3 linked regions of the Arabidopsis thaliana genome follow. The protein of the gene in region 2 interacts with the protein of the main gene of each other region in a pairwise test. Each region holds a gene or a part of one and is shown on either strand. Other genes may lie near its edges. The genes, in order: GRL, ABIL1 and SCAR2.

The links.
Region 1: the proteins of ABIL1 (region 2) and GRL interact in a two-hybrid assay, tested with the Arabidopsis thaliana proteins (one study listed by BioGRID).
Region 3: the proteins of ABIL1 (region 2) and SCAR2 interact in a two-hybrid assay, tested with the Arabidopsis thaliana proteins (one study listed by BioGRID).

Annotation. Positions count from the first base shown.
Region 1 is NC_003071.7:14,801,285-14,805,699, forward strand, and holds the start of GRL (transcription activator), read right to left. Parts: upstream 2,567-4,415; 5' UTR 2,476-2,566; intron 2,261-2,475; 5' UTR 2,242-2,260; coding exon 1,840-2,241; intron 1,747-1,839; coding exon 1,672-1,746; intron 1,292-1,671; coding exon 1,211-1,291; intron 1,004-1,210; coding exon 923-1,003; intron 809-922; coding exon 726-808; intron 631-725; coding exon 546-630; intron 460-545; coding exon 334-459; intron 200-333; coding exon 92-199; intron 1-91. UniProt on the Arabidopsis thaliana protein: Involved in regulation of actin and microtubule organization. Part of a WAVE complex that activates the Arp2/3 complex.
Region 2 is NC_003071.7:18,979,735-18,984,149, reverse strand, and holds the start of ABIL1 (ABI-1-like 1), read right to left. Parts: upstream 2,233-4,415; 5' UTR 2,038-2,232; coding exon 1,945-2,037; intron 1,927-1,944; exon of another isoform or gene 1,522-1,926; coding exon 1,439-1,521; intron 1,359-1,438; coding exon 1,208-1,358; intron 1,117-1,207; coding exon 1,017-1,116; intron 934-1,016; coding exon 663-933; intron 595-662; coding exon 542-594; intron 445-541; coding exon 362-444; intron 232-361; coding exon 76-231; 3' UTR 1-75. Other genes in the region: AT2G46220 (DUF2358 family protein (DUF2358)), read right to left, coding at 3,593-3,980, 4,158-4,415. UniProt on the Arabidopsis thaliana protein: Involved in regulation of actin and microtubule organization. Part of a WAVE complex that activates the Arp2/3 complex.
Region 3 is NC_003071.7:16,093,098-16,097,512, reverse strand, and holds the start of SCAR2 (SCAR homolog 2), read right to left. Parts: upstream 2,279-4,415; 5' UTR 1,964-2,278; coding exon 1,809-1,963; intron 1,631-1,808; coding exon 1,467-1,630; intron 1,384-1,466; coding exon 1,260-1,383; intron 1,172-1,259; coding exon 1,042-1,171; intron 857-1,041; coding exon 795-856; intron 673-794; coding exon 1-672. Other genes in the region: AT2G38430 (uncharacterized protein), read left to right, coding at 2,703-3,003, 3,172-3,340, 3,426-3,582, 3,667-3,747, 3,915-4,022, 4,117-4,386.

The sequences.
Region 1 (4,415 bases), 4.2 Mb from region 2:
CAGATAAGATAGTTTTCAAGATAGAATCCTTGGAGGAAAAACTTCTTTATCAAGATCACAATCGAGAACAAAATGAAAAACAGATTCATACCAGGGCGATATCAATGCTAGTAACACGAAGAAGCTCGTCGGGGCAAACGAGATATCCAAGAAGCACCCACTCTCGGTACGAAGTAACATTTGCAAGATCTTGCGCTCTCTGTAGGAACCAAGAGTGTATTATCTAATATTAGCACTATACATCGAAGTAGAGTTGTAAGGGAAAGACAATAGCATCCTACTAATTCTGAGAATCCTAAGCTTTTATGTTGATAATAATCTAGCCGTTCGTACCATGGGATGAGCAGAATTTGTAAGTATATCTGGGAATCTAGGATGATATGGGCTTAAAAATCCCTCATTTCTCAACTTCCTCGTATCTGCAGATAGAAAAATACTGGGTCCTACAGCCTCCAGGACCTAGGAAAATAGTAACGTTGTTAGTACTGCTGTATCAGTTGCAATATTAGCTCGTAGGATACCCGTGATTTGAATAAAATATTAACCTCTCCAATCCTTGGGCTGACAAAATTCAAATCTTCTTGTAAGCCTTTCAATGGGGGATCATAAGAGTCTATGAATTGCACCAAGCTGGATGCAAGACGAGGAGTGTTAATATATGATATCAGAGTCTATTGATTATATACAAATTAAAAATGATACTACAAGGAAAAAAACATCCATACCGGTGATAAAAGTCACAGTCTCGATCATTTCTTGATAGCGCATGCAGAAGGTTGTAGACTTGCAACAACATTTTCCTAGGAATCTACTTTGATAAAATAAACACTCTTACATATTGATAATAATGTAATGTCTCACATGACATGTGTAATCAATCCAAATAAACAAAGAACTAAGAAAAGGAACAAGCTCAGCATACCTTCTCTGCGAAGAGATTGACTCGGACAAATGCACAAAAGAGATCCATGAATGCATGCAGAATAAGTGAGTTCTGATGAGGCTGCAAAAAGCTGAACTAAGTTATGAGCTAATCATGAATACTCAACAATTTTATCTTCATCCTCACAGACATTTTTGACAAGTAAATAATAACTTAATGTACCAAAACATTTCATGACCTCCACCTAAGGTACGAGTTCAAAAGAAAGCTCAAAGTTTCAACCCAGAGCAAGTAAATACTTTCCGCAGATGAGAGACTTTGACTCACCAGCAAGGTAATTACAGTGCTGCTTAGGTCCAATATAAGCCGCAGTGCCTGTTCTCGAAATGCCATCAAGTCGAGCAGCAGCTGATTCAAGAAAAGAAAAATGCATGACGAGAGGACTATGAAGGCACCCCTTACTGAAATGCTACACACGAACTAAGGAAAGAAGGCTAGCAAATAACTACTCGTTTACATTTTAAAAGTTAAAACCATGTATTAGGTAAATCATATATGCATGCCCAGATATATAAAGCTGACTAATGGTGAGATGGAATAGAAGATTGAATATTGACTATATAGCAGACTGAAGATTGAAGATTGACTAGGTACACAAAGAAAACTAATAGAAAGATTGACTATATAGCATGTAGGACTTCCGAGATGCTTCACCATTCTCGAACAACAAGTTTCACAACAACAGAACGTAAACCCAACAACATATTACATAGATAGTTTCTTATTACCTGTATCCATGGCTCTAAGCTCTGTAAGTGAAGTTCAGCACCATCATGCAAGCTATCCAGTGAAAACTTATCAATCTGCATAAGTATTGCAGAATAAATCTTTTTTCATTTACCATCAGATCAACAAATCAAACAGTAAGTCTAATAAAAAAAGAACTCATGACTTACACGTTCAAGTTGCAATTTGCTGAAATGCTCAGGGAACTTTTTAGAGAGCAAAGTGCATATCCGTGGATGGTTAGGGAAGACACCCGCTTTCCAAAATGCTTCAGAGAATACATGGCCAACAGGATCAGGATACTCCAAGATTTGATTCAGTCTATACATTTTAGCCATGAGACCGTCAGCAACCTCAATCATTTGAACTACCCATTGTATGTTCAAAGCCTTTGTGGAACCACCAACATGTCCATCAATTTGCTTAGAGCTCCTAGTAGAAGACACTGATGCAGCCATTTCAGGTCCCAAGTACTCAGTCCATCTGGAAGGACCTTCCCATTCCCTTGATCTCACAGAAGTCGGGGACATTGATTCATCTTGAGATGGATAATATTGACGAGAATTCGCCATTAATTCAGTACAATAATCTCTACAATAAAGGAAAATGTATTTCAAAATCACGTTACACAATCTCGTCCAACATAATTTACTTAGCTCTCTACTCTTGCATTCATCTTCCAAAAACCCAGTAATACTCAACAACGAGTGACGAGTGAGAATAGATATCCCCTCGTCAATTTCCCAGCAACCAAACAAGGAGCTAAAACCAAGTCAAGCAAGAGTCTCGTGAAGATTGAAAGTTACCTGAGAAGCTTTAAAGGCGAAAGTCAAATCGAGCAAAAATGTCTCAGTAAGATCGGAGCTTCGTCTGAGAGTTCAGATCTGAATTTCTGCAACCTACTCCGGAGACGATGATGACGACGACAAAGAGGAGAGAGAGCGTCGGGCTTAATCGGAGTGTGTGAGCCGAGAAATAAAGAGTTGCTAAATTCGGGTCTCTCTCATTTAAGACAAAATTAGTCAGTAGAATTTCTTTCGTTTTCAACTAAAATGCAGATTTTTTTATTTTTTTTTACTCTTTTCTTGCTCAAGCACATTTTTTACTTTTTACCTGTAAATCTAAACATTTCCATAGGAAACGAAACAATGTAAGTAGAAGAAAATTATGAACAATTGAACAGCTGAAAGTGTTTATCCCTTTCAAAAAATAAATTGTTTATAAAATTTTAATAAAATATGAGATTTTTAGTTATATTGAATCGGAATTGTCTACTTGAATTTGAGCAGTGCAAGACAACATTTTTTCACTAGAAAAAATGATATTTCAAATCATGTGTTGTTTTGGTTTGATTGTAGTTATTTGGATTACAAGTTTTTTTTAGCAAAACTATAGGATTAGCTCCAACTATTGAGATTTTAGCATAACAAACCAATGTTCTTTTATCATATGTACATTAACAGAAGGTAAATTCAAATCTACGACATCTATTTCAATAATGAGGATAGCTAAAATAGAAAAAAGTATTTGGTATATTATGTAGTAAGTACTATTTTTAGTATTTAAAAGGAAAATTTCTGTTAGAAAAAGAACAAACGTTCTAGTTGGGTGGTTGAAATGTAAGTTTTCGAAGCTTTGACAAAATGAGAACAAGTCCCTTAACCGGTAATTTTTAATATTTAAAAACAATTAACCAAGAGAACAATATTGACGTCGACAAATACTAACTTGTAGTATATAATTATCATTATCTCTACATATGGAGTAGCTTTTAGGTGTAATAATTGTCAATTATTTTAGAATTACTGTGTTAAACTTTAGTATGATTCGACTAATAAATAATGTTTCTGACGTTTCTGATGATGAATTTGCCCCTCCCTCACTTTTTGTTGCGTGTCCAAAGCTCAGTGCTATCCAAGCATTTCATCTTTTCAACATAATTATTTGATTTGAGAATTTAATCATAATGTTGATATTACTTTTTTACTAATAGAAAACAATCAAACAATCAAATTAATAAGTAAATTAGTGGAAACCATGACACACAAAAACAACTTCATATAATAAAGTAGGGTTGACAACGCAGGAATATTGTATTACAAGGCACATCTTGTAACTTTGTTGGACAACTGTGGCTAAACAAGCTTGGCCTTCACAATAAGCAACAATGATTCCAAAATCTTTTCCCTCTGTGCACATATCATTGCATCACAGATTTTGTTTCCTTTCACATTATCTTTTGAGGTCCCTATGAACCAGAAAATAACAAAAAAACGGTTTTCACACGGTTGCTACAATATGACCGAACCTATATTCTTTATTCGCATGAATCTTCCATTAGCTTCTTCTTTGTACTCGGCTATTATCTTGGATTCCAATTTCTTCATCTCAGGACTGGGCAGTTATTTTACTGAACTCCAAATTAATTCAAGAGTCTACAAGTGTAGTTGCTGCCGTGCCTAGACCTACGGAGGTAAGGTCCATCTGAAGAGAAGCATTTTTCTTGTCAACATGTTATCTTATATAGTATGAACATTACCAATCCGGTGTACAATTGTTTATAAATAGATGGATGGTGGTCCAGTAGCATTTGATTTGGTCCCTCCAAAGGAGTTGGAGCTTGCTAAGCACTAAGCACTAGTTCAACCCGCTAAGGGTTATGGTTTTCGGTCCACGAAGATGTACTGTCCGAAACTTTTTGCAGTTAAGAAGAAAAAGGCATAACTCCATGAAAGATCCAATCAAT
Region 2 (4,415 bases):
ACATGTTATTATATAAGGTAAAAGAAACGTGGTATGAGATTGAAATTTCCTTCTCAGTACAAAGAGTTGGTGTTTTCACGAGACATAGCCAGCTTTGAGCTTTGGAGTTTTCTGTTTAACAAAGAACGCAGAAAGAACACTCTTTGTCCGGACAGGAGCTTGAATGATCTCTCGTCGCGGGTTGTTATCAAGTGACCTGTGTGCAGTTAGAAGTTTCGGAACCTCCAAATCCTGTTGAATCACAAACTTGTCTCATCAAAACCATGATTACAAATACACAGCTTACTAATCCAGTTGCATTTTTCTACATGAACTGCCCGATTCATGAAAGATTAGTTTCATGTGTTCTAAATTTTTTTACCTTATGGGCAGTGGATGCAGCAGGAACACCTGAGACCTGAGAACCAGCCAAAGGCTTCTTGTTTGCTATGTTTTCATCATCACCTGCATGAGTTTCAATGTATATCATCAATCTCTTGGCAAGAGTTGTCTAAGAAGAAATGCTATGTTTGATACTTCCCCGACTCCCTGTTTCTCGTACCTAAGAGATGGAACACTCCAGATGTCTTTGAGAAAGCTTTTGAATCTTTGGAGCTGCACAGTAAATATGTATTAGTTATCAAGAACGTGAGAAGCAGTACTAAAGCTTTTTGTGAACTCACCTTGGTGCAACTGTGGATGTTCCTTTGAGGGTAGACTTGGTCTCTGAGCCTAAATGCCAGGAGAGTGATTTCGATGCAGGGGCATCTAAGTGAGTCAAACCAAGCATATTACTTAAACTGTTTGATATTTGACTGCTTGTATTATTAACTAATAAGCTCAAAGATGAGGACATTGCACCTGAAGGTTGAAGACGGGATATAGCTTGGTAATGATTCTGTCTTGTGTCAGTTCGTCTGAGAGGACTAAAGTGTACCCGCTTGTTAACAGAATCTAACAACAGTCGAGAGAAAAAAGAAATCAGATTTCACTAGTAAACTAACAGAATCTTAACAAGGGACAAGAAAAACTCTTACTGGGAAGAATGTAATGCTTGTGATGCAATGGGATAACTGCTAATAGCTGTTGCTGTCTAAGACCTTCTTTGTCGATATATGTCCGGCATGTAAGCAGTTGCTGATGAAAAGAACATACACAAACCTTAAGGGAGATTGCCTAGAAAAGGTAAGATAAATAAATAGAGAAGTGTGTGAGAGAGTTTAGTTACCTGGCTAACACAAGAAGCTCTCATTTCCATAGTTGATATGTCTGAATTTTGGTGATCAAAAAGATCAGTAAGCTTGGAAGCTACAGTTCCAAGGTGATCAACAGCATTAACTAGAGCCTTCACAGTGTAGTCTTTCAAATTGTCCAATACCCTAAACAGAAAGGTAATAATGTAAAGAGAAGAAATGTCATTCAAAGCTACTAGTAGAGTAAAATTAAGGAGGTTACTTACATTTGCTTTTGCTCGCTATGAAGATAAGACTTTTCACAGTAATCAGCAGCTGAATAAAGTTGAGGCCTCAAGTTCTTGAGCTCCTGTTACATACAATAAAGGCCAAAGTAAAAATAACATTTGTAATAAGCCAAACAAAACCAACAAACAAATCAGAAGATTCTTGAGTCGTCGTCTCTAGGTAGCTAAGTCATGCCATAGTCTGTCTTGATAATTCCAAGAGAACCAGATTCAAATCTTGAAGACAGTAGTAACACACTAACCGACAATCATCATCTTGGTCCCATCAATAAACTTAATCCACAAAATTTACAGCCAACAAGACTTTTAAAGTTTTTACCAACATGTATATTAGCCTAGCCTACAACGAGATCATGGATCTGCCTCAACTAAACCAAGTTTATTGTGATCATAGCTCTTAATTTCTACAGAATCTAACTGATCAGAACCAACAAAAAAATGTGGACAAGGAAGAACTAGTAACAGAGAGATAGATAATAAGGAACCTGCAATGCCTTAACGAAGCTCTTGTTGCGTTCCATGGAAACCTCGTCCAAGGTCATAGCTGGATTATCCATTCCTGATATCTCCGTTTCCATCTAGCGATCAGAGTGTGTAGAAATTACGGCTCTCTATTTAAGAGATTAGTGTAACACAATCAATGTTTGTGAGGTAAGGTTAGCTTTCTGGTGAGACGGCTAAGCTAACTTGACATAGAAAGAGAGAGAGAATAGGAGGAAGGTGAGAGTGAAGTAGAAGCGATTCCAAATCCAAAGGACTCTTATGCCATTTTTGCTTCCAGAGTTATTAAAAAAGGTGTATAGAAGAAAACGACTTTGGGAAAGACGCACTATGTTTTTTTTTTTTTTGAATATAATTCTCTTAAATAAGTTATTATGAACACATAAAAAAACAAGATTAATTAATAATTTGATCATACTATAAGATACCTCTGAATTACAAAATTAATACAGCATAATTTGAAAGGACATTAACTTAATATTTTTGTCGAGTATACATTAAAAATACTCCCGTAAAAAAAATCACATGTCTTTGTATATGCTGCTTTAATTGCGGTTGTTGATAACACATTAAATTATTTATGTGTTTGTGGTTAGATTCTATGCAAGCATTTAAAGTAAACGGAGGTGGATCTATAGGATTTGAAATGACGGAACTAGCCTTGCCAAAAGGACCGGTCAACTGGATTTTATAATTGACTCCGGCAAGTTGCATGAAAAAGTAACGCTGGCGGACACGTCAGCATTAAGCCAGCTTCATTCACATGAGATCCACACGTGTGGACTAGCTGTCAAAACGGACCTGCACGTGCAAAGGCCCATGGGTCCATCATGGTTTTACTGGGCAAAAATCATTGGCCCCAACTTTAGTCTTACAAATCATTTTTGCCATTTGCTTTCAATGATTCTGTTCAGGTGAATTAAAAGACAGCCGTAAATGACCAAACAAGTTTTTTTCTTTGGTTTGTGCCAATGTTGTCTTCATGTTATATAATTCGAATTTCTATTTAGAAAAATATGCGTTTTTTTTAAGATTAAATTATGGATATACACAAATGTAGGCTGTATAAATCATATTCTATAAATAAAAAGCTTTTGTCAAAGTATGGATATACACAAATGTACGAGTTGCTCGAATTTAATTTCAAGCCTGTAGCTCAGTCGCTTGAGGAGATTGCGGTAAAGGCAAGAAATGTTCAAAGTAGCTATGGTTGTACTTACATTTAGTCTTGAAATTCAACTTCTTCACACCTTGCTTAACTGCCTTGTCAACTCTTTTTGACATCTACCGTCAACACGACTTCGTGGACCAAGTTCCACAACCAGGCTTACTAGTTTCGGTGCCTCATGGAGTTGCAGTGACTTGTCAATATTTTTGAATCAAAATATAATAGTAATCAAAGTCAACATATTTATGTATCATGATGCTATACTGTTATTTTACAAATTTATGTACATATAGGCGTTTTATTGATTATTATACGCAAAAAAAGCGTGTAATGTATTCATGCTATTGGGTTTATTTTAAATCGTTCCTTCTTCATCTATATTACAGTACCACTCTATTTATAACCACACAAAAGACTACTAGTATACATAACACCAGCATGATGTTTCAGACGATGATGATGAATCAATCTCCGAACTCAAAGTAGGTCGGCTTGGGAGTCGAAGGGCAGCTAATGGCTTCAACAAGCTCTTGAACAGTGAGCATTTGAAACTTTGGAGGCGAATTAATGGCTATGTTATCGACTTTATGCTCATAAATCTTGCCATTCTTATCGAATTTATACTCAGAAGTACCATCGAATCGACCACGAGTCTCCCACGGACCACGAGGAATTCCATGAACAGTCCATCGTATCATCAGAGTGTTCTCTGTGGGTTGCCAAACACTAACAATGTCCACACATAGTGCTCTGAAGAAGATCCTTCCATGGAAACGTAAGGCCCCAAATATGGATTTGTAGTTATCAATTCCCATGAAAGTGTTCATAGGGTCTTTGAAAACAATATCATCCCTGCGAAATTAGACAAGAGAAAGAGCTAATCACCAACTGATAAAACAGATCATTCTCTAAGAAACCTAACCAAGAACAGATCAAATTTGGGATATAAGCATGACTCTGAAGCAAAAAGATTCTTTGAGAAAGCTAATCAAAGAGCAGTTCAATTTAAATCGAGAATCTTCATCAAACCTGTAAATGTCAAAATTAAGCTCTTTGTAGAACAACAAAGGAAACTCTTCTCTGATACTACGAACGGCGTGACCCATATTCACGTAGTAACTCTGCTTATCTTCTTCTTCTTCTTCTTCCTCCTCTCTGCTAATCTTGTAGTCTTCTTTCACCGGAGCTGAGAATTGCCAGTACAATCTCGATTTCGGATTCTTAACACCAGGCAAATCTCTGGCGTCAATCGCCGAAACCGTAGCCTTCCTCCTCATAAACACATGA
Region 3 (4,415 bases), 2.9 Mb from region 2:
TTTGAATGAGAAAATGAAAACTGAGGTGGGTCCTCCATTCTCTCTTCAACCGCATCAGAATATATATGATGGTTCCCATCCTTCAAAGTATCTGATCTACTCTTAGGTCTACACTCATCGTCTGTTTCTGTTTCCGACTCCATGGTGGCTGGTGCGTCCACATAATTGTCAGCCTCACTGGTTAAATCTTCAGAATAACTCCTCTGTTGAAAAAATCCTGGCTTCCCGTTCAAAACCGTTTGTGAATCCTGTGTAATAGTTGTTCCACGGACCTCATTGTATGTAGATTCAGGCACTGTCTCTATATCTTTTTCAATAAAACCCCCATTCATGTTAACATTTGCCACATTTTCCTGCTCACTTGGGAATGAAACCTCTGCTCTGCTTCCTCCATGAGACTTATCCATAGCACCCACCATACTGATTTCAGGTATATCGGTTACTACATCTCTAGCACTATCCATATTCCATGTCAACAATCCGGGGTTTTGGGTAATTATTTCATAACTTATCTTACTATCTACACGTGTCTGCACAAATTTCTCCATGTAGCTTTCCCCTGATTTTGAAATAAGGGAACACCCATCTAGCTTTCTGGTTTTCAACTTCACAACGCGCGCTGGATCTGAATGATGAGCCTCTAAATGCTCCTCCAAAAACAATTCATGCAATCTGTGCCAGTTGAATAATTGAAACCAGCCATTTTTAGTCACAGTCAGATACCAATATAGGAACTACATATATATCATAACAGAAATGACAAACACACAAGACATAAAATAGATAATACTCACTTGGCATGTGATGATAATGCATTTTCAGGTGTCCCTCCATTCCTCCACTGAGATGCTCTCCTCTACAAGAGAATAGAAGGAAAACTATGAGAATCACAAAATGGAAGGTAAGATTACACATTCAAAACACCATGAGCATAAGAAAATCTACTATTCAGAAAATCTACCATGTAATGGAAACCAAAATATAACCAAGAAGGATCACACTGCAACCCATAAGCTACAACCTGAACTAAGAAGCTAGTACCTTTGCTTTCTGTGATTTTTTCTCTCTCTGAATATCATCCCATGATTCTTCATATGAAGACGTTTCAAGCCTAACAAACGATGGATCGGTGTAGCGTTTCAAACAAGCCCCAGCTCCGGAAATATCAAACCTAATCAAAACCATCAGAAGATGTTACATATATCCTTCTCTAACAAACGACTAAAGAAGAAGTCCTATCAAACAAGGCTAAATCATACTTGTCCAGAAGAAATAGCCTTGGAGGACCTCGACATTCCTCATAAGAATCCATCACACAACGAGGTAAGTCACCACTTGTAACCACACTCTGTTCCAATTGTAGATTCGGATGCCATTCCACACCTGAAATAGAGTCACAGAATCATGTTGAAATAATCCAACATCATAGTAGCTGACCAGATCATGAATGTTCATAGCAATCTAACCTTTGTTAGAGAAAAACGGCGAATGATCGGTTTGACACAGTAATGCCTTCTCTATAGAAGGAAACTCTGCTTCCAACTGTTGCACACGAGCCATTAAACCATGGCTTCTAGAAGCAGTAGCCATTACTTCTTCGTGCAAGTCATGAAACATCTCAGCAGCAAACCTTCATCACAAATTACATGAATTTAAAGACAATTCCATCAAAAAATCAAAACTTTTTCCACTTCCACAACCAAATCCAGATTCATCAAAATTGTCGCTTTACAACAACGGATTCCAAAACTTCGAATTCGATGCGCTTAGAGATCAATTAGAGAAATTTCGATTGGAGAGAAACTTACTCAGCGAGATCACCGAGTTGACGCAAAATGCCAACGAGACCAGCCATAGCGACTCCTTCAAGCAGAGCTTCAGGGTCATCTTTATCAGCAGCTTGATACAGATCCGGATCTGCTAATCCATACTCGTTACGAGATTGGTACCTCGTCAACGGCATTGTTTGAGCTTCTCTGTCTGATCAGCTCGCTGATACTTTTGTTCAAATTCTAAAGGTAAGAACTTTAGAAAGAAGAAGACTAGAAAAGCTTCTCTGTCTTCATTTAAGTAGTGACCGACCACCATTAGATATGTGACGACATCACTTAGCTGGAAACTAAAACGGACTTTCTGTGGATTCAAGACGGCGGATATAGGTAGGGGCAAAGAGAGAGAGAGAGAGTCTGAGAACCTCAACGCTAAAAGACTTTTTAAGAAAACATTTCTTTTTCTATTTTTCGATAGCCAGAAATACTTAAAAAATTGTTACTTTTAGTGAAAAATTCTTACAAAACCAAAACCTTGTTGCAATAAAACCTGCATTTAAGACCAAACCCCTCGGGAACCTGATAGTTTCAGGCTTGAGGTTTGTCCAATTGTGATCCCTATCGAAACCAAACACAATCTAATTAAAGTCATTTTTGAGAAACGGATGAGAGTTAATTGAAAGATTAAAAAGGGAGCGAAGAGTCTATTTGAGTGTCACTGTTACTTCTCTGCAGGAATATTAAAAGACGTTGAGTTTCGACTACAGCCTACAGGTATGATTCGACTTCTCTCTTCTCACCTTAAAGTTTCTGTCTTTATATTCTTCTTCGCTCGTTGTAAAGCAATTCTTATTTGAGCTCCAAGTTTGAGATTTTTTTGTTTTATCTTGAAATCGTTTTTGGTTGATGTTGTTGTGAGTTTCAGGTTTAGACATGTCTTATATTCCACCACATAAGAGGCATTCGAAGGATCCGACAAAGCCTACCCCTGTTCCAGATTCTCTTGTTACAAAATTCAAGAAGAACCTTGACTTTAAGAGTAGCACTAGCAGTGTTAAACGCAACAAGATTATCTATTCAGGAGATTCCATTTCCAAATGGTTTCTTGTTGGTTCAAATGGAATTGAGGACGATGTTCCTTCGTATGTTAAGTTTGTGCCCTTGTCCTCAGATTCTGTCGAGTGTAGAAAAGGAGAAAAGCCTTCAATACTGATGAACAACAATGTCCAAAATGGTAAGAAACTATTAGTAGACTTTGGCTATGTGTTTGACAAAATGAATATCATCTAGATGCTGAAATAAACAATACTATTAACTATTTTGTTTGTGCTATTATCGTTTTTGCCAAAAGAAGATGCATTGTATCTATGTTGAGTATGGTTTTTTATATGTTTATATTCAGTGAATATGAATATTGGAGAGAGGAAGGATGAGAGAACTCAGTGGCTATTAGTAGCTGAGAAGGTTATGGAGGATCTTGTGTTGGCATATGAGCGAGTTAAGACTGAAATGAAGGAGCATCATCATGTATCGAGACTGGTTGCTCGGTTTGGTAAAATTTTCTTCTATGGGTAAGCGATTCACCGTCTGATCTCACATTTTGCTGTTTTCAGGAATGGGTTTATATTTTTTCTAACATATACAACTTTAAACCAGGAGTCAAGCTGGTCCTGTGGCTGAATGTTCACTAAAAAACTTGAATAAGATGTTCTCTACTGATCTCCCAATGTCTTACTTACAACACATAAAATCTAATGTTGTACCAAGCCATGGATTCTCTATTGATAAGGAGAAGGAAACATACACTGTGAAGGTACTCGTTTCATTTTCTTAGATTTAGATCTATACTTCGAATGTCATTTGAATGTGCTAATTTGGGTTTGGCTTCTATTTTTAGGTATCGCATTATTCTCGTCCTAATGCAACCATCAACTGTAAATGTACCCGTAAGGAAGATGGACGGCTCAGTATGTACAAGGCAAGTCTCGAGTTTTATGTGTGTAGTGACTACAACCAATAGTAAAATCTCTTCTTTATTGTTCTCGGACTAGCAAGAAAAACAAACAAGAATTTGATAGATGTCACATTTTTACTTGGTCTTCCTTTAATATCTAACTTTGAATCTTGAGTTTTGCTTTTATATAGGTCGACCTTAATCCTGTAAGGCATTTGGTTGTTGATGTGTCATGCATTGATAAGAATCTCGACATGAGACTAACGCTCACCGCTAAGAGGGAAATAACGTATCTCAGTGTAAGTTCAAGTTTGGTATATATATTTTACAATATATGGATAAATAATATGCTCTTCTTAGACTTAGGTTGTGTGATCTTTCTTTGATCGGCAGGATAAAGAGATAGGTGACATTAAAGCGCTATTGGAATCAGCAACTGTTGATCCAAATGTAAAAGGCGGTTTAAGGTGGCCGTTTGGTAAAGCTTTATCTGAAGATGGATACAAAGAATTTGAAGTTTGTCACGTTAGAGCTACTATCTACAAAAATAAAACTCTAAGGCTTAGGGTAAGAGAGACTGATAGATTCAATGAGACGACTGGAACAGGGGAAACCAAGAGGGAGGTGAGTTTGACGCTTAAAGACATCGACACTAAAATACAGGTAAATTATTGTGCTCTTGTACTATTTTA